7 linked regions of the Kluyveromyces lactis genome follow. The protein of the gene in region 1 purifies or fractionates together with the protein of each later gene. This does not show direct contact. Links are inferred from orthologs where the notes say so. Each region holds a gene or a part of one and is shown in the gene's direction. Other genes may lie near its edges. The genes, in order: UTP4, CSL4, UTP15, BUD21, RRP5, NOC4 and UTP6.

The links.
Region 2: the proteins of UTP4 (region 1) and CSL4 purify together in Saccharomyces cerevisiae (affinity purification with mass spectrometry; 3 studies listed by BioGRID). This does not show direct contact. The link is inferred for Kluyveromyces lactis from reciprocal best matches to the Saccharomyces cerevisiae genes UTP4 and CSL4.
Region 3: the proteins of UTP4 (region 1) and UTP15 purify together in Saccharomyces cerevisiae (affinity purification with mass spectrometry; 7 studies listed by BioGRID). This does not show direct contact. The link is inferred for Kluyveromyces lactis from reciprocal best matches to the Saccharomyces cerevisiae genes UTP4 and UTP15.
Region 4: the proteins of UTP4 (region 1) and BUD21 purify together in Saccharomyces cerevisiae (affinity purification with mass spectrometry; 3 studies listed by BioGRID). This does not show direct contact. The link is inferred for Kluyveromyces lactis from reciprocal best matches to the Saccharomyces cerevisiae genes UTP4 and BUD21.
Region 5: the proteins of UTP4 (region 1) and RRP5 purify together in Saccharomyces cerevisiae (affinity purification with mass spectrometry, with the first as the bait; 3 studies listed by BioGRID). This does not show direct contact. The link is inferred for Kluyveromyces lactis from reciprocal best matches to the Saccharomyces cerevisiae genes UTP4 and RRP5.
Region 6: the proteins of UTP4 (region 1) and NOC4 purify together in Saccharomyces cerevisiae (affinity purification with mass spectrometry; 8 studies listed by BioGRID, with this or other methods). This does not show direct contact. The link is inferred for Kluyveromyces lactis from reciprocal best matches to the Saccharomyces cerevisiae genes UTP4 and NOC4.
Region 7: the proteins of UTP4 (region 1) and UTP6 purify together in Saccharomyces cerevisiae (affinity purification with mass spectrometry; 4 studies listed by BioGRID). This does not show direct contact. The link is inferred for Kluyveromyces lactis from reciprocal best matches to the Saccharomyces cerevisiae genes UTP4 and UTP6.

The regions. Positions count from the first base shown.
Region 1 is NC_006040.1:1,131,567-1,135,719, reverse strand, and holds UTP4 (small subunit rRNA maturation protein UTP4), read left to right. Parts: upstream 1-1,442; coding exon 1,443-3,653; downstream 3,654-4,153. Other genes in the region: condensin subunit YCG1, read right to left, coding at 1-1,203; KLLA0_D13200g (uncharacterized protein), read right to left, coding at 3,736-4,153. UniProt on the Saccharomyces cerevisiae protein: Involved in nucleolar processing of pre-18S ribosomal RNA. Required for optimal pre-ribosomal RNA transcription by RNA polymerase I together with a subset of U3 proteins required for transcription (t-UTPs).
Region 2 is NC_006040.1:1,659,619-1,662,254, reverse strand, and holds CSL4 (exosome non-catalytic core subunit CSL4), read left to right. Parts: upstream 1-1,242; coding exon 1,243-2,136; downstream 2,137-2,636. Other genes in the region: BNI4 (Bni4p), read left to right, coding at 1-926.
Region 3 is NC_006042.1:1,275,201-1,278,594, forward strand, and holds UTP15 (snoRNA-binding rRNA-processing protein UTP15), read left to right. Parts: upstream 1-1,331; coding exon 1,332-2,894; downstream 2,895-3,394. Other genes in the region: AIP1 (Aip1p), read right to left, coding at 1-772; SLD2 (Sld2p), read right to left, coding at 3,044-3,394. UniProt on the Saccharomyces cerevisiae protein: Involved in nucleolar processing of pre-18S ribosomal RNA. Required for optimal pre-ribosomal RNA transcription by RNA polymerase I together with a subset of U3 proteins required for transcription (t-UTPs).
Region 4 is NC_006037.1:682,612-685,088, reverse strand, and holds BUD21 (Bud21p), read left to right. Parts: upstream 1-1,224; coding exon 1,225-1,977; downstream 1,978-2,477. Other genes in the region: KLLA0_A07645g (uncharacterized protein), read left to right, coding at 48-866; Mn(2+) transporter ATX2, read right to left, coding at 2,088-2,477. UniProt on the Saccharomyces cerevisiae protein: Functions as part of the small subunit (SSU) processome, first precursor of the small eukaryotic ribosomal subunit that coordinates the first two steps of ribosome biogenesis in transcription of the primary transcript pre-RNA and pre-18S processing.
Region 5 is NC_006038.1:728,546-732,649, forward strand, and holds the start of RRP5 (Rrp5p), read left to right. Parts: upstream 1-1,304; coding exon 1,305-4,104. Other genes in the region: YPK9 (putative acid anhydride hydrolase), read right to left, coding at 1-138.
Region 6 is NC_006038.1:952,990-956,184, forward strand, and holds NOC4 (ribosome biosynthesis protein NOC4), read left to right. Parts: upstream 1-1,129; coding exon 1,130-2,695; downstream 2,696-3,195. Other genes in the region: PPT1 (protein serine/threonine phosphatase), read left to right, coding at 2,959-3,195. UniProt on the Saccharomyces cerevisiae protein: Involved in nucleolar processing of pre-18S ribosomal RNA and ribosome assembly. Has a role in the nuclear export of 40S pre-ribosomal subunit to the cytoplasm.
Region 7 is NC_006038.1:119,427-122,425, reverse strand, and holds UTP6 (snoRNA-binding rRNA-processing protein UTP6), read left to right. Parts: upstream 1-1,134; coding exon 1,135-2,499; downstream 2,500-2,999. Other genes in the region: YML6 (mitochondrial 54S ribosomal protein uL4m), read right to left, coding at 1-355, 524-562; chromatin-binding transcription regulator ADA2, read right to left, coding at 2,593-2,999.

The DNA.
Region 1 (4,153 bases):
TGCATAGAGTGCTTGTTCTGCATATGTAGAGTTCACAACGTCAATGTTCTCCAATAAATCGATGATGTCACCGTCCAGGATGTTCAACCAGGTGAAGGCAACTAATTTTTTACAAGAATTTCTAACCGTTTCATCTCTATCTTCAAACCCCCAGGTCATCAGTTTCTCTAAAATATCAGAATCCACCTCATCGAACGTATGCTTCCCCAAACTCTTTAGTACTCTTGTAAACACCAATCTTCTATTGATGAAATTAACATCTCGTACCCGTTCCAAGATAACATTCTGGGTCGCTTTCGAACGTACAATATTCAACATTGCTGCCCTCCGAACTTCTGGACTTGGATCATTCCTAATGATATGCATTAAACTCTGTGTAGCTTCATCGAGTTGGAAATTTACTCCGGTTTCTGATTCATTAATCATCGATACGTTATCGTTTTGAAATTTTGTCAAACAAAATATCGCCTGTATCCTAACATGAGGTTCCTTGTCATACACCCTATGCTTCAAAACCCACATAATCAACTCGTACAATTCCTCATCAATTTCTCCCATATTATCCATAGTTGCGGCCAAAAGTTGCATTACTCTGTATCGTACGTTTTTATTTTTCGATTCCACTCCTCGAAGCAGATTCCTCACAAATCCATCAATAAATCCTCCGAAATGTACTTCCAAATTCCTCACATTTTGCTCATTACCATCTTCGGTTCTCATCTTGTTAAGATTCGACTCTATATTTGCGATGAACCCTGAAATCAACCGAACAATGCGATCCCCCACGATTTCCTGTTTCTTCAGCGGCAAGATTTTGACAGTCATTTTGATAAACCAATAATGAAACACATCTGATATCTCTTGCTCCACACATTTCAAATAAATCCTGTATAAGACAGCTACATGACGTCTGTGACCAGCATAACTCTTCTGCGCCACCTGGAAAACCTCCGCTATAGAATTCAGAACACGACGATTTGTAGGAGATTCTCCATCCTGAACATCCATATCAAACAATTGCACCCTTTTGGTCAATAATACCACGAGTATACACCAGGGAAAGGCTGCTATGAGGTTGCCGCCGATGTTTCTTCCACTTTCCTTTTCCTCTTTGTTTATTAGTTTGTTTATGTGAAGAGAAGATCCAATTGTAAACAAATCTCGTTTTCCCAATAGATCTAATATATCACGTGATATGATCATACTGTACGGTGTTGAAGCTAAACTAGTTTCTTTTTGAAAAATTTCAGCGTTAAGAGCACACAAGCTTAGAACAGAAGCTCATCTCATCGGATAACAAAGTCGTATATTTCTATCTAGTCAGTGAAGTTTTTTGATTGACATCAGCCTACAGTTTGTCAATCTTTTGTTTCATTCTAATACATTAGCTTTTGTTCTCTGATACAGGTTTAAGGTCCTCAATTTATAGAACACATTTGATCATGACTGATACTGGGAAGAAACAGGTAGTGCATCGATCCAGGTTTGTGCAGTTTACACCTGGTAATATAACGGCTCTTGCATTTTCACACAAAAGTACTGATAAAGCGGCACCGCAAGAGCTAAGACTGGCTATTGGTAGATCCAATGGTAATATTGAGATCTGGAATCCAAGAGATGATTGGGTACAAGAGTTCGTGATCTTGGGAGGTGAAGGAAGATCCATTGAAGGTCTTTCCTGGTGCAGTATTCGTGGAGAGCCTTTGAGACTATTTTCGATCGGTGGCTCCACTGTAGTTACAGAATGGGATTTGACAACCGGGTTGCCGTTAGTAAATTACGATTGTAACTCTGGTGTGATTTGGTCCATTGCAATGAGCAACGATATGAATAAGCTAGCGGTCGGATGTGATAACGGCAGTGTAGTACTTATTAACATCAGTGGTGGTAAAGGTGTTCTTGAGCATGAGAGCATACTTACAAGGCAAGAATCTCGTGTCTTATCGTTGACATGGACAGCCAATGATGAATCTTTGGTCGCTGGTTGTTCTGATGGAAGGATTAGAATATGGTATACTAAGGAGCAAGACGAAAACAAGGGAAGACTATTACATACTATGAAAGTGGATAAATCGAAGAAAGAATCTACACTCGTATGGTCTGTGTTGTATCTAGCTAAACAGAACCAAATTGTGTCTGGTGATTCTACTGGGTCGGTCAAATTCTGGGACTTAAACTACGCAACATTGACTCAATCTTTCAAGGTTCATGATGCCGATGTTCTATGTCTGGCTACTGATCTGGATAATTCACAATTGTTCACTAGTGGTGTTGATAGAAAGATTTTCCAATTCTCTTACATCGATACAGGAAAGAGCATGAAATGGATCAGTACTTCAAACAGATTATTCCATTCCAATGATGTTAGATCTATGTCCTCTTATCAATGTATGGGATCCGACTTCCTAGTGTCTGGTGGTATTGAAAAGTCTCTTGTCATGTGCTCAATGTCCTCTTTCGCTGAAGGAAATTATAGAAAGATGCCACTAGTTACCCCATTCCATAAGAGCATCCTGGTCAACAAACAACAAAGACTATTGGTGATGTGGCAGGATAATATCGTGAAGATATGGTATATTGGCGAAGACGTCAATGAGCCTAAGAACTACAAATTAGTTAGTAAATTGGTTTTGAAGGATGAACAAAACATCCAAACCTGTGCACTATCAACTGACGGACAAGTTTTATTAGTGGGAAGACTAAATACTACCAAAGTTTTCCATTTACAACCAACAGACAACAAATTGAAAGTAACAAAGTTGGACAATGAGTTTTTGTTGAGAACTGGTTGCAAATTTGCTAAGTTCATTGATGATTCTAGGTTAATAATGTGTTCACAATCTGATGAAATAGTTAGAATTGACCTTGAAGAGGATGACGACGAAAAAACCGTAACTATTGAGTTACCTGAAGCGAACTCAACGAAATCCAGCAATAAACTATCATATTTGAATGCAGTGAACCATTTAGATGCAAATGAACGTTACGCTGTTGCGTCTAGAGGTACCGGTGCTCTAGACTTAATAGATTTGACAACAAACAGTAGTAAAGCTTTAATTCGCATGAACAACTTCATCACTGCACTGTGCATCACACCAAGAGAGACTGTAGTAGTAGTGACATCAGAAAATAAAATATACGAGTTCAATTTGGAATCCGAGAAGGATCAACTACTCACTGACTGGTTCAAAGCCAATCATGAAAACCTCCCAAGGCAATTTACTTCCTTGAAAGAGAGATGCACAGGAATATTCTTAGATGAAATGGATGAGCATAAGGTATGGTTCTGGGGATCTAACTGGTTGGTTAACATCAACATGTCATTAGACTTGCCAGTTAGCAAAAGAAAGAAGCAAAAGAAGCGTGACCGTGACGGATTAACTATTTCCACTGACGGTCTACAGGCAGACGTCGATGAGGATGATGAAGACGATGAAGAACTCGAAGTTAAGGAAGATTATCTCTTAAAAACTCAGAGAGCGCAAGATGTCACCTCCAAGAAGAGATCTGATAAGGCGTTTTTCTATACCGATAAGTATAGACCTCTATTATTCGCTGGAAAGATCGCAAGTGACCAATTAATCATTGTGGAAAGACCAAACTTCTTGATCTCCCAACCTCCTGCATTTGAATTAGAAAAGTTAGTATTCTAATTTATAATTTCTGTACATTATTATAAACTCGATCTTCATCGCGAAATTGATTTTTAACATAGGGTCATCATTCCGCCGCATATCATCTGTGTAGTGTTCTTTCTGCTACCTTAATACCAATGAATGTCAAGAGCGAACTGCAAGCGAACATTTTATCAGACCAGACGTCGATTACAACATCAGGAATAGTGAATTTCTCACCCAAGAGTTGATTGACCTGTTTTGAGACATCATATGGTAAATTGGAGCGAATCATCAAGATAGTGGCAAGGATGTACACACCTGTCAACTCACACACAGCGAGGTTTTTGATGATCGAAGGGGGTTTCTTGGTATAGAATGCATCCTTATTGCTCGTAGGAAGCTCAGAGCCATTGGTACTCTGCATTGCAGATAACGCTAATAATTGTAGTTTGACAGGCAGTAATGTCAAAAGATAAGAGATTGTCGTAGTGACAGTAGAAAGAGAGCACACGAACAACGAGATGGACAATATCAAG
Region 2 (2,636 bases), about 530 kb from region 1:
GTTCCATAGAGCAAAAGTTAAACGAGCTGACAATGGAATCTGATCAAGAAGATCAACTAGAAAAACCATTGGTGCAGAATAAGGCAACTAAATCTAGTCTTGAAGATTCAGATAATGAAGACAACGAATTAATCTCAGATATCATGGAATTTGCAAGTATAATAGACTTTGGACAAGATATCGAGTTAAATTTTGATCTCTATTCTGACAATCGTTCACACTATGAAACTCTAAATCCGGTCAAAGAATCTGTGAAAAACTCTCTATCCAAGCCCAGCTTCAATACTGAGACAGAAAACTCATTTCTTGTGGAACTTACTAACTCCCCAGAAATTAAGACAAACAGTTCAGTACTCAACCAAAAACAGACTGGTTTGGATGATCAGAAACACATATCAAGTACTATAAAAACAAGAGACACATCACCAGAAAATGTTAGCAGTAGCAACCAAAACACTTTTTCTGATAGCAGTTTATATTTTGATAATTATGATGAGGAAGATTTTGAGAACGAAGATTTTAATGGCATACATGCAGTAAAAGAATCCCCAAAGATCAACGCATTTTTACCAGATATCACAACATCGATGAGCAGGCCTATATCGATGTCTTTTAGGGGTTTGAAAGCGCCACAATTCAACAGTACCATGGAACTTTCAGGGCTTACGGGACTTGAACATATCTCAGATCAGATGTCGAAGAAATCGGAAGAAAGATCTAGCTATGCAGCAAAACTTGTTAAGTTTTCCTCTCAAATAGTCCTTTATGAGACCTATGGTGAACTTGAGTATGATAGGCATCCTGATTCGGCAACATGCAATCAACTTACTCCTCAATTGGCCCAAATGATAAAGGACGAGCTGAATGAGCTTAAAGCAGAAATGGACATTCACGAAGATTCTATGTGCAACACTCACTTCTTTTAGTAGACCTATAAATACATGTAATCATAGTAGTTAAATCATTTACCATGCGTTTCTATGTTTCCCTTTATATGGATTCAAATCGTGCACGTAGCTTTCGTGTTGAGCCCGCTTTGAAAGCTTTGGTAATATTACCCTACTATTTGAAAATAATTCTAACTTGTCTTCAACATCTCCCAAATTTTGAAAATTGTTTCACTCATTATGAAAATGATAAAAAAAGAGCTGCTTTATGCGATGAGCTAACAGTAATACCAAACTAGCTTAAATATGGCCTGTAAGATAATAAGAGTGTTTGATAACAGTAAGGTTTGTCTATATGCATCGTTATAAAATGAAGCCTTTTAAAAATTTCCCCCAGACTGTTATACCCGGTGATCTTATATGTCCAATATTTGATGTTGATGATGATAACAAGCAAGAAGTGGTAATACGCTTCCTAACGGGCACTGGCTGTAAACAGGAGAATTTTAGAGTTAACGGCAAGAACGTTGATATTATCGTAGCCACATTAAAAGGTTCTGTATCTGTGGAAGAAGTTCCAGCAGATATTATCGAAGACGACGATCAAGAAGACTCAGAGAATACGACGTTTGTAGAATCTCATGAGACCACCGGAGGGGATGCAAGCTCTGGCAATAGTAGAGTTATAAAAAGTTTCAAAGTATCAGTATCAAATCCTAGCAAGTTTGCTAGCAAGTATGTTGATGACCAGTTTGTCAATAACCTTCCGCAAGAGGGCGATATCGTACTGGCGAGGGTGACCAGAATCAGTTTGCAAAGAATAACAGTTGAGATTTTAGCAGTTGAGAATTCGCCCTTGCCGATCGACTCTGGTGTCGGAAGCAATGGGACTGGCATAATTGCTGCTGCTGGTGGATCTGGTGCGTCTACGTTTTCCGTTTCGCAAGTGTCCGCGGATTTGGGAGAAACTTTTAGGGGCATAATTAGATCCCAAGATGTAAGGGCCACTGATAGAGATAGAGTAAAAGTTATGGAAAGTTTTAAACCTGGGGATATAATACGTGCTCAAGTGCTCTCACTTGGCGATGGTACCCATTACTATTTAACTACAGCAAGGAATGACTTGGGCGTGGTGTTCGCTAAGTCTTCTAACGGAGCTGGAGAACAGATGTATGCAATTGATTGGCAGACAATGATTTCACCAAAGACCGGAGTCGCTGAGAAACGAAAATGTGCAAAGCCCTTCTAATATAGTCGGAACACAACAAGCTTTTTGTTCAAGTCTATAGGTACCTTCACATACATACATTTACAACTTTCATTTACATTTACATTAGTTTCGTATTAGGCTTCACGCATATTGGGAATATTGAGGAAGTTTCTACTAAGATCATTGTGAATTCAACGCCTGAATATCATATGTTATTATCAGAAAAGTTAGTTGGACTTTTAGTTGATTGGGAATTTCAACTCATCGTGGTCACCTCTTAAATCATATTCACTCAGTCCAACTTTTTTTCCGAACTTCTCAAATCTTTGTAGATAATGCTTTCTCTTCTTCTCTGCAATTTGAGTTAGGACAGGCCAATAGGCTTCATGATTATATTTGAAGTCGAGGTTACCACCATAAAGCGTCTCGAGTTGATCAGGTGGCACATAATTTGGAAATGGTTCATCAAAAACCAATTTTTCACGAGTCAACGGATCAATAAAAGGATGGATGAGCTTCAAAAAGGTCCACGCAAGCCA
Region 3 (3,394 bases), on another chromosome or scaffold:
CTAACCATGCGACAGCAAACAAACCACCGCCAATTGGAGCCTTTTCAGACTCAATGTATTTGATAAATTCACCAGTCTTACCATCAAAGCAACATATCTTACGATCGCTACCGACAGACACAGCATATTTCCCTGCACCTGGAGAGAACTTGACGTCTCTAACGAATTTACCTTGGCCGTGATGCGTTCTATCACTGCTTGCAAACTTGAAAGGTGGACCCTGGTAAAACACAACAGAACCATCATCACTGACACTGAAAGCTCTCATTGGTCTGCTTTGCTTGAAATGAACTGCATTGACTCTTTGAGAGTGACCCGAGACTTCACCTAACGAGTTGCCCGAGTCCCAAGAGACAAACGCACCAAACCTATCACGACCTTCACCAACAACAGCCAATCTTTTACCCTCAAAATCCCAGGATATATCAGCGACAGGACCAGCGAGCACATGTAGTTCCGACTTAACGTTGTACTCAATTTCTCCAGACTTATCGTCCTGATTCCAAGACCAAACGATAACTCTACCGGAATCATCTCCTGAAGCAACATATTGAGACCCCTGGATAGGAGAAAATTTTACAACAGTGACATTACTGGTACCATGGCCATTGAATTGAACGACATGTTCACCATCTAAAGATCTAATGATGGCAGATCTACCGCTACCATAAGCTAAACTGTCAGTCTTTGGATCATATGATAAATGTGTCGTAAAGTTTCTCTTTGTAGAAGGGAGAGGTGCAAAAACCTTTGCTAAATTAATCGAAACCATATTATCGCGAGATACTAGATCAATTGACTTTTGGAACACTCTGTAAACGCACCAGAAAGACCTCTTCCTGACTCAAACGTGTCCTGTTCTCATGGTTTAGTTTCTTGATAAACTGGTGAGTATAAATAAATTCCATACATATGGAATGTAAATAGACGAAATAATAACTACTGGGATGCAGAAATACAAAGAAAAGATATCCTAAATACCAGTTAGTATAATGAAAGTGGTATTGCTGAATACCTGGGAATCAAGAAAATCTGGGAAACCAGGTTAAAAGCAGATAAAGGGCCTTAAAGGCCCTTTATCTGCTTGTAAAGTACAGTGAACGGTTATTCTTCTCTGAAAAATCACAATCAACGAGATTCTTCGAGTCTTCAAAGAAAAGAAACCAGATTTTGGAAAAAAAAAATGATTGAAGCCTTAGCTCATCGCATGGTTGATAAAATAGATTTCCCTGTAATTTGCGAGTTATATCAGTCGGTTTGGTATCGTCAGACTACTGTTAAGTGATAGAGGTGATTCAGGCGATCAGATTGGTAGAAATATTGTGAAGAAAATGTCGTCTGTGAGACCTAGAGTGACGCCGGTAAAGGCTCCTGTGTTACCAAAGCAGACCACCCCAGAGCAGAGGTACTGGAGGTCTTATTCATCTACTCAGCTTGTTAAAGAGCACAATGCAGTGACTCATATTGCCTTCAATCCCCAGCATCCACATGATTTTGCAGTTACCTCTTCTACTAGGGTACAGGTCTTCTCGTCAAGGACAAGACAAGTGATCAAGACGTTTTCTAGGTTTAAAGATGTGGTGCATTCGGCCACTTTCCGTCAAGACGGTAAACTTTTAGTAGCAGGTGACGCTACTGGGTTAGTGTCCGTTTATGATAGTTATAATCCACGTACTTTGTTGCTTTCTATACAAGCTTCGTCGCATCCTACGCATGTGACGAAGTTTCACGATCAGGATAACAAGACTTTGGTGACGGCAAACGACGATAGAGTAGTGAGACTATGGGATGTTTCTCATGCTTATGAACCCACTTTACAGTTAACTGGAGCATCTGATTATGTTAGATCAGTCTGCTTTGTGCCAAATGCTCCACATATGGTCGCTACAGGGTCGTACGATGGAGTAGTTAGATTGTACGATATTAGAACGAAATCAGATAAACCACAGACAACTTTGGATCACGGTCTTCCTGTGGAAGATATCACAGCCATATCTCCTACTCAGCTTGCATCGTGTGGTGGTAACGGGTTCAAAGTATGGGACTTGACTAGCGATAGAGCCCTTTGTGAACGTCAAAATTTCGCAAAGACGGTCACCTGTTTGAATTACACAAATATGGGAGAAGAATCACCAATGAGTTCCGTACTAGTTGCATCCTCGCTTGATGGTCATGTTAAGATCTTTTCCCCGTTGGAGAACTTCCAATTCAAGTTTGGCTGGAAGTTTAGCAACGCTGTGCTAAGTTGTGCAGTCTCACCAGGCGATGCGCAAGGTAATAAACATTTCGTTGCAGGTTTATCCTCAGGAATTCTAGCCATCAAGACGAAGAAGAAGTCCAAAAAGATTAACCTCGCTGATGTCTCTGATTTGGAGGATTTACCATTACAACAGCAAGAGAAGTCTGCGAAATCCAACAATTTCCAGAGAATGATGAGAGGGTCCGAATACAGAGGTGATCAAGAGCATATTATACACAACGATAAGCCAAATCCTCAGCGTAAGTTGCGTCAATTCGAAAGGCATATCAACCAATTCAAATGGTCTGACGCATTAGATTCTGCATTTATCCCCGGTATGGCTAAAGAATTAACTTTAACGGTATTACAAGAACTAAGGAAAAGAGGTAAAATCAAGGTTGCATTATACGGTAGAGACGAAAGTTCTCTAGAACCACTACTCAACTGGTGCTTGAAGGGAATAGAAGATGTTAGAAGTGCACCAATTGTTGCAGACTGGATTGCGGTTGTAATTGAACTCTACGGTAGTGTACTGGAGAAGTCCCCAGTACTTGAAGAGATGGTAATCACTCTAAAGAAAAGAGTAAGGGAAGAGATCCGCAAAGCAAAAGAAGCACAAAAGATAGAGGGTATGCTCCAATTGTTAACAAACTGATAAAATCCTTTCTACACTGATCTATAACAAAAAGGAATGCGTGTAAAAGATTATATTTATTTACATTTATAGTACATAGACTGCAACAACTGTATCATCCCGTTCGTTACGTCTGTTTCTTTGTTTTTAACGTTCTGACTTTGAAGAAATCACCTTCTTCCTCTCCATTTACTGGCTCTGTTTCTTCCTGCCTTTGTTGGAAGATTCAAACGCTTGAAGTTGTTGCTAACAAGGTTGTATTTACTCTTACGTTGCTTCTTCTTTACGGGTGGATTGGATTGTTGTTCAGAGTCAGACTCACTTTCTTCCACTTCTTTACCCAGCATTTTATTGTACTCACGTTCCTTCAACTTTGCTAGCTGTTCATGAACATTTTTGTCTGGAATGTTGGTCGACTTCTCGTTTAATGCTGCTGGTCTCATCTTCGCTTTTGTTCTTTTCTTTATGGTTTTAACTTTCCGCACATAATTGCTCTCAGTTTCATTGCCGACAGTTCCCTC
Region 4 (2,477 bases), on another chromosome or scaffold:
AGATATTTAGAGAGAACGTCAGCTTCTACTGTACAGAGCTAAATCATATGAAGAGCTTATTGAATAAGCGGTTTTCGCCTAAACGTCGAAATAAACCAATCACTTACGCACCAGCTTCAGCAGCGAAACCTAAACCCAAACCCAAACCTAAACCCAAACAACTGGACCCACCAATGCAATCCGGTGAGAGCAGTAGCCAGAAAAGCAGCACTCCCATACCAATCAAGTCTATATTAAGACCTGTTGATGGCACGCACGAACATGAGAATAAATCTGTCCGCATTGTGGAATCTTCACCACATCCGGAGTCTGTTCCAATCAGCACACCAACTAGGATAATAGTAGGACCATTACCTGATGGAAATGTTAGTGACTCTTTGGTATATAATGCCAGCGATTTAGAAAAGGGTCATATCGGCGTCGCGGAGGAATCGTCACCGCTACTAGAATCACAGTTGCCTGATTTGACAACATACCAAACAATTTCCCCAGAGTCCAACCCCACTGCACAGATACATTGCTGGTCAACACCCTCGTTGCCAATTCCAATACCACCACCATCAAGCGATCAGCCATGTTCAGGCGACCCCGTGCAGTCACCCTCAATTCCCCCATCCAGGGAATCACCATTTACCAGTCCGTTAAGTCGGTTCTTGCAAATGCTATACGCAAGATATCCTGTCATCATAACTTATATCCTAATCACCATCTGTGTCATTGGGATAATATATTCTTTAGTAACAGGAACTGGTAGATCATATCTCTTGGTTATTATAAAGGCATGTATATGCTGGATAATGGGTACAGACGTGGCAAGAATGCTTTTTGGTACCCAGTTCTGTGATATTGAGTTTAAAGTGTCATGATGTTTCAGTACTGCAAGCTACACATTAAATACCATTAGCATAGCAATAAAGTTGATATAAATTGATATAATCTAACCAACAAATAGCACCAGAACCAGCCAATACACAGCACAGTCCGTTAACGGGTGATGAGCATTCTACTCGTAGTCCAGTGTCAGGAACAAAATCTTCAGCACGTGACCTCTATTTACGTATCATTTCTTTTCGAAGTGAAAAATTTGGACAAAGCGATGAGATGAGATGAGATGAACCACTGGAACTAGTCCATGAAGCAGGTCGTGTTACCGTTCTGTCAGTGTTTCTGTTCAATTGTGCATTGGATTAGACAAGTGGCAAGAGTTTACTGAGAAATATAACAATGGGTTTGAAGAAAGTTCTAGGTTCTGGTGCTGCACTGGTAGCGAAGAGACACTTGAAGTTCGATGATGATGCGGATGATTCATTCCATACAGCTGATGAGGGCAACTCTACCCTAGATGCTCTCAAACCAACAAAAGCAGAAGCGAATGGTGAAAGTGAAAGTGAGAGTGAGAGTGATAGCGATGCGCCAGAAGAAGAAGGCTTGAGTAGTGGGAAAGATGCTATAGAGAAAAGGATTCAGGAAAGAGAAGAGGCTGCAAGGTTACAAGAAGAGGCAGCTAGAGAGAAGAGACGAAAGAACGAGAAAGTGTTCAAGCAACAGCAGCTAGAGAAGAAGAAGAAGCTGCTCGAGTCTGAGGAGGAGAAACAGAGAGAAAAGATGTTAGAGTTTGAACGACAATTAGTAGCGCAGCAGGGTTCGGATAATGATGAGCCGGAAGAGTTACCACAAGAGTTCTTTGATGAGCTAGAAAGTGGATCTGCATCTTCCTTCGCAAAGGCTACGCCGAAACATATTACTTTCTCGGCAGAAGCGCAAAGAGAAGAAGAACAGGCCCTAAAAGAAGAATTACGGAAACAAAAGAAGAGATCACTAAGGGAATTGAGAAAGACCCAAATACAGAAAGGACCTGTCACTGTGAACTTGCTATCGTCGATGAAGGTATCTAAGACACTGGCTCCAAAAAAGGAAACCAGTGTCATGAAATCAAAGGATAAATGGTTGAAAAGAAGAAGTCTCAAACGTAAATAGAAGAGGATTTGTGCCCACATGTACCTATCTATTCAAATATACAGGTCTTTATACATGTGATTTGTCTCGTGTATAATGTATTATCTAAAAGAGGAGTTTCCTGATTGGCTTTAGCTATCATGAGGAGCGAAGAAAGAGATCATTAACGGGATAAAGATACCCAAGAGTAACAATCTGACATCTGGAAGTGATTCTTGTTCTATTTTCTCTTCAGTGGTAACACCTTCGCCCATCTCTAAAACAGAACCCGACACTGGGATCGGGCCATCATTCTGTAACTGTTGTTCCTGGTCCTTACTTGGTGAGATCAACGCAAGCAATGAAGCATACAATAAACTACTACCGCTCAGAACCAATAGCCCATCGCTCATTTTCTCGATTAGGTCCTTGCTGACGAATCTCATCAGGATCACGAATAGCAACCCGAACGGTGTGGATATACTGAATGCAATAAGATTAGAGATTACTTGTAGTTTGGGTAATCTCTGTTTCGAAATCAT
Region 5 (4,104 bases), on another chromosome or scaffold:
TGTGTTGTTTTGTTCCAAGATTGCTGATGAAGTAGTTGTATTAGCGCTGGATCCCGTCCTTGTCGAAGAAAAGGACGGTCTTGCTGATTTATTCGCACTATGGGGTATTCCTGTAAATCTGCTGTCGAATGATGACATTGAGTCCCTCTTCAAAGGTGCGTTGGTCGACCTTATCTATTGATAGAATCCACTCCATATTACTTTTTAAAGGTTTCTGATATATATGAGAATGTAGGTTGATAAATTGAAGATAATTGATTTAATGAAATTTCATACCAAGACACATAATACATAAGGAAGGATAGGAGAAAAGGCAGGCCAATGATACCTCACGTTACAATGTGGAACTTTACTGTGTTGATAAAACTCTCGTAGTTCGATAGATATATAGACTGCCCCTGAAAATGGATCGAAAGGAGCCAGAAACAGCTTTAGACTGTAATATGATGGTGCTTTTATGCCTTATAATAAATATTTCCGGCTGTGAAAGTACCTTTAGAAATGAAATTGAACAAAAAAGAGAAAAAACATATAGTCTGATCTGAAACTATTACCATAGAAGGCATTCCACTCGTAATTGCACAAATTTTTCTTAGCATGACCAACAAAACTCTTATCACTCCCCTAGAACCTTTTAGTTACATGGTTTCCACCATTACAGATATGTAATTATTATACCTCTTTAAGAAGATAGAATAACTGGCTAACAAAAGCCCTTAATAGTTAAGAAGTATGTCATGCATTCAAAAGACCCTAATCCGTGGATACGGTTCAAACAAACTCCAGTGATAACAACGGAAGATCTGTACAACGTTCCATTATTAAACTGTCACTGCATCAAAGGCGCGATTACATTTCGTCTATGTCGTTTTGATTTCTTTTTTTTAATATTGAAAATTTTCAAAAATCGATGCGATGAGATGAGATGAGATGAGATGAGCTTTAGCTACTTAAGTGCTGGATCATTTGTATTGGTATGCTAACACATTTCTGAGCTTTGTTGATTCTAGAAACCAAGTGCAACTTTCTTAATTCTGGTAAAGATAAGTCTGGTTTACTTTCTCAAACAGGAAACAGTTTGGTATAACATATTTTGTATCTTTCTCTGAATTCTTTTTGCTTTGTGCTTTCTATTGGCTTTATTGGTTTCTATCTTCACAGAAGACAAAAACAACAACAACTTGGGAACAGGAGCTTCAATAGTTTGCAAGACACTTCAAGAAAAACATAGGTTTACATCTAAATTGCTAGGTGTAATTTGTTTTGAAAACAGGCATATCTAAATACCGAAAAAGATCACAAACATGGTTGCTCCACAAAGTAAAAGAAAGAGAGACGATGAGTCTCCTTTAGTAAGACAGGATGCTACCGAAGCACCAGCCAAATCTGCATTGAGTAAATCCGAGGAAATCTCATTTCCAAGAGGTGGTTCTTCTGCTTTATCCCCATTGGAAGTTAAGCAGGTTGGTAACGAAGTGGTTGCTGATGTTTTATTTGGCAAGGATGAATCAGCTACTGGTGCAGAGGGCCCAACGAAGAAGAAAAAGAAGAATGCTAAGAATAATTTTGATCAAATTACCACAGGTGATGATGAAGAAAAAGAGGACAAGACTGATTTAATTGAGCATTTTGGAATGAAACAAATGACCAAAGGGACCATTGTCTTGGGTCAAATCCAATCGATCAGCAAACATGAACTGAAAATATCTTTGGTGGACGGTTTGCATGGTTACGTCTCATTAACAGATATCTCTGAACAAATGACCAAGATTTTGGAAAATTTGGACGAATCCATGGAAAGCGATGATGAAAAAAATGAGGACTCAGAATACGATTCTTCAGATGATGAAAGCGACATAACAACTCCTAAAGAATTACCTGATCTCAATAAATATTTCAAAATAGGCCAATGGTTGAGGTGCATGGTACAAAATAACAGCGCTTTAGAATCAAACAAGAACAAAAAGTTAGACTTATCCATCGAACCCTCTGTAGTAAACGTGTTTGAAGATGATGATTTAGCTAAAAACTGTCCACTACAGTGTTCGTTGAAAAGTATAGAAGATCACGGTGCCATTCTTGATATCGGTATTGAGAACTTAACAGGTTTTATCTCAAAGAAGGATATACCTGAATTCAGTTCTTTGTTACCAGGTATGGTGTTCTTAGCTACAGTGACGAAAAGATCTGGTAGAACTGTAAATGTCAACTTGGATTTGGCCAGTAAAAACACCAAGGTCGAAAAGATCTCTTCCATAGATGCCATCGTGCCGGGTCAATCGATTGACTTTTTACCTCAAACTATCACAAATCACGGTGTTATCGGTAAAGCCTTCGGTCTAATAACTGCATTTTTGCCATTGCCACATTCCAATTTCTTTACGGTAGAGGATTTGAAGCATCACTACTCCATTGGTGACTTAGTCAATGCTAGAATTTTGGCAACCACTATAGTGAAAAGCGGCGATAAAGTTGCTGTCGTTTCCACACAACCTCATATCATCTCATTGCATCCAAAATTACAGGAGACCGAAGCGTTAGAATCTTTCCCCGTTGGCTATATCTTCGATTCTTGCACAGTTAAAGGCAGGGATAGTCAATTTTTCTACGTATCAATCAACAATGAACAGGTGGGACAAATTCATTTGTCAAAGGCAGGAGAAACTGAACCAACGGGAACTGTGAAAGCAAGAATACTCGGCTATAACAATGTAGATAAACTTTACACATTGACGTCTGATCCAGCCTTACTTGATGTCAAATACCTAAGATCGTCCGATATTCCAGCAGGCGAAGTTTTGAGCGCTTGTGAGATTGTCACAGTGTCAGGAAAAGGTATTGAATTAAAAATTTTCAATGATCAATTTAAGGCATTTGTTCCTCCCTTACACATATCTGATACCAGACTTGTGTATCCTGAAAGAAAATTCAAAATTGGTTCAAAGGTTAAAGGTAGAGTTCTCAATGTCGATTCTGTGGGCCGTGTCACTGTGACATTGAAAAAGTCTATTGTAAATGCAGACGAAGAATCTGTGACGTTAGTCTGCAAAAATGATGATATTCAGACTGTTGAAAGTCAAGAATTGAAAACAATTGGTACTGTTGAAATATTCAAGCCTAATGGTTGTGTTATCTCGTTCTTTAATAATATCAAAGCTTTCGTTCCAAACAAAGAAATTTCAGAAGCATTTGTAAAGAAACCACAAGAACACTTAAGACTAGGACAAAGTGTTTTGGTTAAAATTTTGAATCATGACTTCGAAAGAAACAGAATTATTGCTTCTTGTAAAATTTCAGCAGAGTCTTCTTCCAAGCAAAAGAGTGCTATTGAATCTTTAGTTGTCGGTAAATCTATCATCGATGCAATTGTTATTGAAAAGACTAAAGATTCCGTCATCGTAGAATCTAAAGATTCAGGGTTGCGCGGTGTTATTTACACCGGCCATTTGTCAGATGATAGAATTGAACAAAACAGAGCTTCGCAGAAAAAGTTAAAGATTAACTCTGAAGTTAGAGGTTTGGTTTTGGACAAGGACATCAGGACTCATGTGTTCAACATGTCCTGTAAAAAATCATTGATTAAAGATGCTGAAGACGGTACCCTTCCTTTAAGTTTTTCCGACATCAAAAATAAAGACAAAACAGAACCGATGCATGGTTACGTTAAATCTGTTTCTGACCGTGGTGTTTTTGTTGCATTCAATGGTAAATTTGTCGGTTTGGTTTTACCAAGTTATGCAGCAGAAACCAGAGATATTGATATTCATAAGAAATACTACATCAATCAATCCGTGACCGTGTATTTATTGAGAACAGATGAGGAACATGAAAGATTTTTATTGACTATTTTAAAACAAAAGACCGATGTTAAGAAGATCAATTCATCTGTAATTAACCCAGTCGACAAGTCTATCAAAGATTTGTCGGACTTCACTATCGGTAAGGTTACAAAGGCTACAATTACATCAGTTAAGAAGAACCAGCTTAACGTTACGTTGGCTGATAATGTACATGGTCGTATCAGTATTTCTGAAGTTTTCGACAGTTTCGAAGATATCAAAGAACAAAAGGCACCATTAAGTGTGTACAAGAAAAATGATTCAC
Region 6 (3,195 bases), on another chromosome or scaffold:
TACTTTTTCCAAAATTTTTCACCAGAGCTTGAATCGCCGTATTCTTTTTTCTTTCGAGATATTGAAAATGACTCAGTATCAATTGCATATCAAAAGAATATGACAAAGCAGCAGAGAAACGAAAAGTAACGAAGTGAAAATGAAAATTGGTGCCAGATTCTAACTCTGATTCATAGTTGATTCATTTGTTCCCGCTCCGACTTGTCATATTCACGATACCATCGTATCACGGCATTTTTTTCTATCTAATATTTACGTTTACGTTTACAGTTAGTTTAGTTTTTGAAATGAATCGCACAAGGCGATTCATATTAGCAAGAAGCAAGACTCAAACACACAAACTCACATCAAGTCTATACATGGGATGACCTTCCCAAAAAGAATCAGAATTTTATAAAAAGTGTCCCAAATCATTCAAAGAATGTAACAAGATTATAAGGCTTGCGAGGGCACCACATTCTCCATTAAAACCATGAACAGAAAATAATTCCCATCCACGAAAGAATTGTAAGAATTAAAAAAGCGCAAATAGTATCATCGTCTTCTTTTAAAACTTGGAAGGTCATGTGGATTTAAGCCCAAAAAGAGTAATACAAGTAAAGCCTATCAAAGTTACATCTCTTCTACATCACCAATTGTGTCTTGTAATTTCTTGGTTCATAAATCTTTCTCTTATATATGATGAAATTCGGGCTAGATCATTTTATACTAATCGTTGAAATTTGTATGCTGTTAGGGCTCATAGGCTGCCGTGAACTGGAGGATACGCACCCCCTGAAGGAACGAGCATCAGTGTGCGTATTCAAGGTGATGCAGGCAAGACTTGACTGACAACAGAATGGTTTACCACTCTAAATTATATATTTAATGTCGCCATTGATAGCTAGTTTATTAGGAAATGCGATCACGTGATAAGAATAATTTCTTTTCAATTGTCTTCTACATTGCAAGAATCTCTGAAAAATTTGGAATCAAGAGATGAGATGAGATGAGATGAGATGAGATGAAGTCGAATAGGAAACGTTAAGGTAGGATATTCTCACCGTTATAATCTGTTTGATTACTCGCAATAAATAATTGGAATTCACATATAAAAGTTTCCCAAGGATTCAGACAGCGATTAACCAAGATGCTCTCGAAGGAAGAGATTAAGCAAGTTTGGAAGTCTATTAGCACCGGCAATGATAGAAAACATTACAACTCGTTGGTGAACCTAATCCATGGGTACAATGAACTTCTAAAGGAAAACGAATTGTTGCACAATTTGGAAGATGATTACCGTTATATGACCATTGCTTTGAGTCAGATTTTCATCAAACTTTTTGAGCGTGGTCAATTGATGCCTCATCTTGCATCCAATGCCAATGAAAAGAAATTCTTTGAATGGTGTAAGAAACTATATTTAAATTATAAGGTTAAGTTATTGGCTATCATTACATCTTTGCATGAAGTTAACTCGTTGAGTTTAGATTGTTTGGACTCATATATGAAAATGCTTCACCATGAATCGATATATTGGGCTTCGAAACCAAATAGTCCTTTCTTTCCAAATAAGACTTTAAGATCGTTACTAGTGGCTCTTTTCCATTGTAACTTTGAAGGTGATATCGGTTTCAAAGATGGTCAGAGCGAGAATCCCGTGTTTAATCTATTTGTGGAAGCCTATTATAAGAAGAATTTCGATATTCAATTCTACACACAATCAGAACTGATATCGTTGTTACCAGAACTTGATGGCCAAACATCTGACGAAATTTTGATGTCTAAATGGTTGGCTTTATGCAACAACGATGTTCAGGGATCACCAGACTTGGAAATATTCGTATCTGTGCCCCCACAAGCCATCGAGAATGATGCTAAGTTTAAATCCAACCTCGAAACAAATTGGTTGCACTGTCTAAATTTAGCCAACTTATCCAGTAGCCAATATAAAACTGTGCTTTTAGTGCTACACAAGAGAATTATAGTATGGTTCCATCAACCAACAAAGCTTATGGATTTCCTTACCGACTCTTACAACCAAGGTGGTATCGTTTCAATCCTTTCATTAAATGGTTTGTTTGAACTTATGAAAAAATACAACCTAGAATATCCAAATTTCTACTCAAAACTATATCAGCTTCTAACTCCAGAAGTAATGCACGTTAAGTACAGATCAAGATTTTTCAGATTAGTGGACACCTTTCTATCTTCTACACATTTATCCGCACAACTGGTAGCGTCATTCATCAAACGTTTGGCACGTTTATCCGTATCGGCACCACCAGGTGCTATTGTTTCTATAATACCATTCGTGTACAATCTAATCAGAAAGCATCCTACATGTATGATTCTATTACACGATCCAGAATACATCGACTGCGATTCAAAGAAAAGGCAAGAATATCTAGATCCATTCAACAATGAAGAAACCAATCCAGAACTTACAAATGCTCTTTCCTCCTCAGTATGGGAGCTAGAAACGCTAATGAATCACTACCATCCAAACGTAGCCACTTTAGCGAAGATTTTCCAACAACCTTTCCAAAAGTTAAGCTACAACATCGAAGATTTCTTAGATTGGTCTTACGATTCACTTTTGCAAGCAGAAACCAATAGAAAGCTGAAGATCCAACCTGCTCTTGAATTCGAAAGGTTTGAAACAATTTTCGAATCAGGTTCTGATTCAGCATTCCTACCCTTCATAAAATGGTAAATACATAATTTCAAGTAGAAAACTTAAGTAGTTCAATTCCAAATTGAGTACTTTCTTTCACTTTCGCAAATCTCTTCACATTACATCTCATCACATCGCCGTAATATTGAAACATCGAGATGAAAAAAATCAACAAGTCAACATCAAGAAGAGAAAGACTCACATCAGAAAAAACTTTAAAATGGGCTCCGTTTATCGGTCTTGAGGACTTAAAGGCACATACCATACCAGTTGGCTGCTTTTTTACCACTACTATTGAATAAATGACTGAGGAAGTGAAAGCCTGTAATCCAGAGAAAGCCTTAGAGCTGAAGAATGAAGGTAACAAGTTCGTGAAGGAGAAACTGTACGCAAAGGCAGCTGAGTATTATACAAAAGCCATCGAGCATGATCCCGAGAATACGATCCTATATTCAAACCGTGCGTTCACCAACCTAAAGTTGGATAACTTCCAAAGTTCTTTAGACGATGCTAAACGTGCAATTGAATTGGATAATAAC
Region 7 (2,999 bases), on another chromosome or scaffold:
CTGTGGTATAATCATTTGGTGCAGTTCTTGCTAGAGCTCTACCACCGTTATGCCTTATTGGTGAATTAGCGTCACCAGCTCTGGCCATACCAGATCCCTTTTGTGGTAAAATCTTTCTTCTCGAATAACCAACATCACTTCTGCCTGGGGGGTTAGAAGACCCAACACGTTTACTGTCATTTTCGTAAACAACAGCACGCCATAGTAAGTCTCTTCTCAATGGAGCATCAAATACTGAGGTTGGCACTGGTGCAAATGTCAATGGTTCTAATGATGGGAATGAACGAACCGTTGCTAAGGTATATTTTGGCGGTAGACTAGCATTAGGAAGGGGTTTGTTGGAAACGTAACGGACCTGTAGAGAATAGGGAAAAGAGTAACAAAAAATTACGAGCAATAGTTAGTAAATCGATCTTCTAAAAGTAGGTGATATAACTGCTTAATGCGGAAGGATATCATCATGCAGTTTGAGGAAAGCCCGCGCTTTACCATTGCAACAGTGATGAAAATGGGTTTGACATACGTTTTTGCACAAATTCAAACCTTGTCTCTTGGAAAACATGGCTGATTCTGATACACTGACTTAATGTCTCGATACAAAGGGGATCAATTGGACACTCCTATGTCTGATCACCGCAAACAAATCAATCATCTTTAGTATTCAACCTATTTCATATTCAGATTTTTGATTATCGAAAATTTGTCTACCATGTAAAATATCCGGGTAATGTTAAATTGCCCGAATTAACGATCAACAAAACTGTCATCTTGTATGAAAGCATACAACGACATTAAGGGTCGCAGTTTATGGTAGTCCCGAATGTCATATGTAAGCGGATTCAATTTGCAGTAAAAAAAAATCCGATTTACGCTAGCAGAACAACAATTGTACTTGTCCTTTTGTTATTCATCGATGGTTATTTAAATGGAGGACTTTATTCTGACTGATTATATGAAAAAGAAATCAATATAACCAAAAAAATTCAAAAGCTTCAAGGCTCATCTCATCTCATCTCAGTATTATTTAGCATGAACAAAGCCAGTAGTCGTTTCCTTTGTCAGTAAGCGAGCGATACGAGTCTCCGTGATTACACTTTAATCAATACTTAACATAAAACTACCCAGAGTAAGGCGATGTCATCCAGAACAAGATATTACTTGGAACAATGTATTCCAGAAGTTGATGACTTAGTGCAGAAGAAGTTATTCACTAAGAATGAAGTAAACAAAATTATGAAGAAAAGGACTGATTTTGAACACAGATTGAGTTCGAGAGGTTCAAGTATAAGTGATTACATCAGATATATTGAATACGAGAAGAATGTCGATGCATTAAGAATGAAACGTGTTAAACGTATCTTGCAATCGAACAAATCAAATAGTATTTCGGATTTTACCATACAGCAGAGGATTCTCTATATTTTCCAAAGAGGCTGCAATAAGTTCCCAAAAAAATTGAAATTTTGGTCTTTATATTTGAATCATTTAAAATCAAAGGGTACAAATGCCTCTTATAAAAAGATTCAAAACGTCTACAATCAATTGCTCAAATTACATCCAACAAACGTTGACGTTTGGATATCATGTGCTAAATATGAATACGAATTGCACGCAAACTTCAAGAGCTGTAGAAATGTTTTTCAAACTGGTCTTAGATTTAATCCAGATGCTTCTAAACTCTGGTACGAGTACGTTAAATTCGAACTGAATTTCGTGACAAAATTGTTAAATAGAAGAAAAGTGATGAATTTAATCAACGAAAGGGAACAAGAGCTAGATATGCTACAACAGCAAGAGGAAGGAAGAAACTCCAGTAATGTAACAGGTCTGGAAGAAACTGCAGATGACGAAGCATACTTTGACAAAGACGGAATTCAACTTCCAAGTACTGGTGACAAGATGAAAGATAAACTAAACGAGTTACCAGAAGCCGATATGAATATGCTTGGATCAGAAGAAACTAATCCAGCACTACGTGGTGATGTCGCATTGGTTATATTCGATATCGCAATGAAGAATCTGGGCACATCTTTTGTCAAGAAACATCAAGGATACTACGCCGTTACCAATTCGCAAGTCGATGAAGAGCTCAGCAGAAACGTTATGTCCTACCTGTTTGATAGATGCCTCGAGTATATCAACTTATTTTCGGAATTTCAAGATTTAAAAAGAGAATATCTGATAAATCACGTATTGCAATGGCTAAAGGACGAACATTATAATATTTCCCTTGAGAAAAGTATGCCAGAAAAATATGTGGAATTATTATTGCATGATGTTACATTAAATATCAAATTCATGCCTGCCGGCGAATTAAACATCGACAGTCTCCAATTGTCCTTCAAAAAGTATTCTGCATACATCAGCAAATTAGATGAGACGAATGCCAAACAACTTACTACATTATATTCTGGTTATTTGACCCAACATCTATTATCCAATATGGATAAATCTGATTCGAAGTATGCTATTTTGAATGCTATTATCAAGAAACTGTAATGAGACACTGTATACACATTTTTATGTACATATTTGACATTAAGTAGTAAGGTAAGCAGTGGAGCCAATATTTCCACAGTTTTATAACTCTAATTAAACCCAATTCTGAGAAACGAAGAAATCATAGATTCTGTTGGCCTTCGTTGCCTCGATATTCAATAAATCACGACACTGTTTCTTCGAGAGTTGACCTGCAGTCCGTATTAATTCTCTGAATAGTACCTCTTTGATGGCAATGTAAGGCTTTGGCAAAATTTTCAACGTTATGCATAACTGCTGTTCCTCAGCTGATAATAATTGGAAATCTGCCCCATGCTGAATGTCACTGATAGTCATTAGTTTCTTACGTCCACTTCCTTCGTTATAATTTTGAGCATAATCAGCTTGCGATCTATGGGCCGAAGTAGCTCTATAACGGGCAGTGTTACTAGATGAAGAAGAAGAGTACACTTGACTTCCAAATCTTTCCAATGTCATAATTCTTGCTTGTTTATCACGTT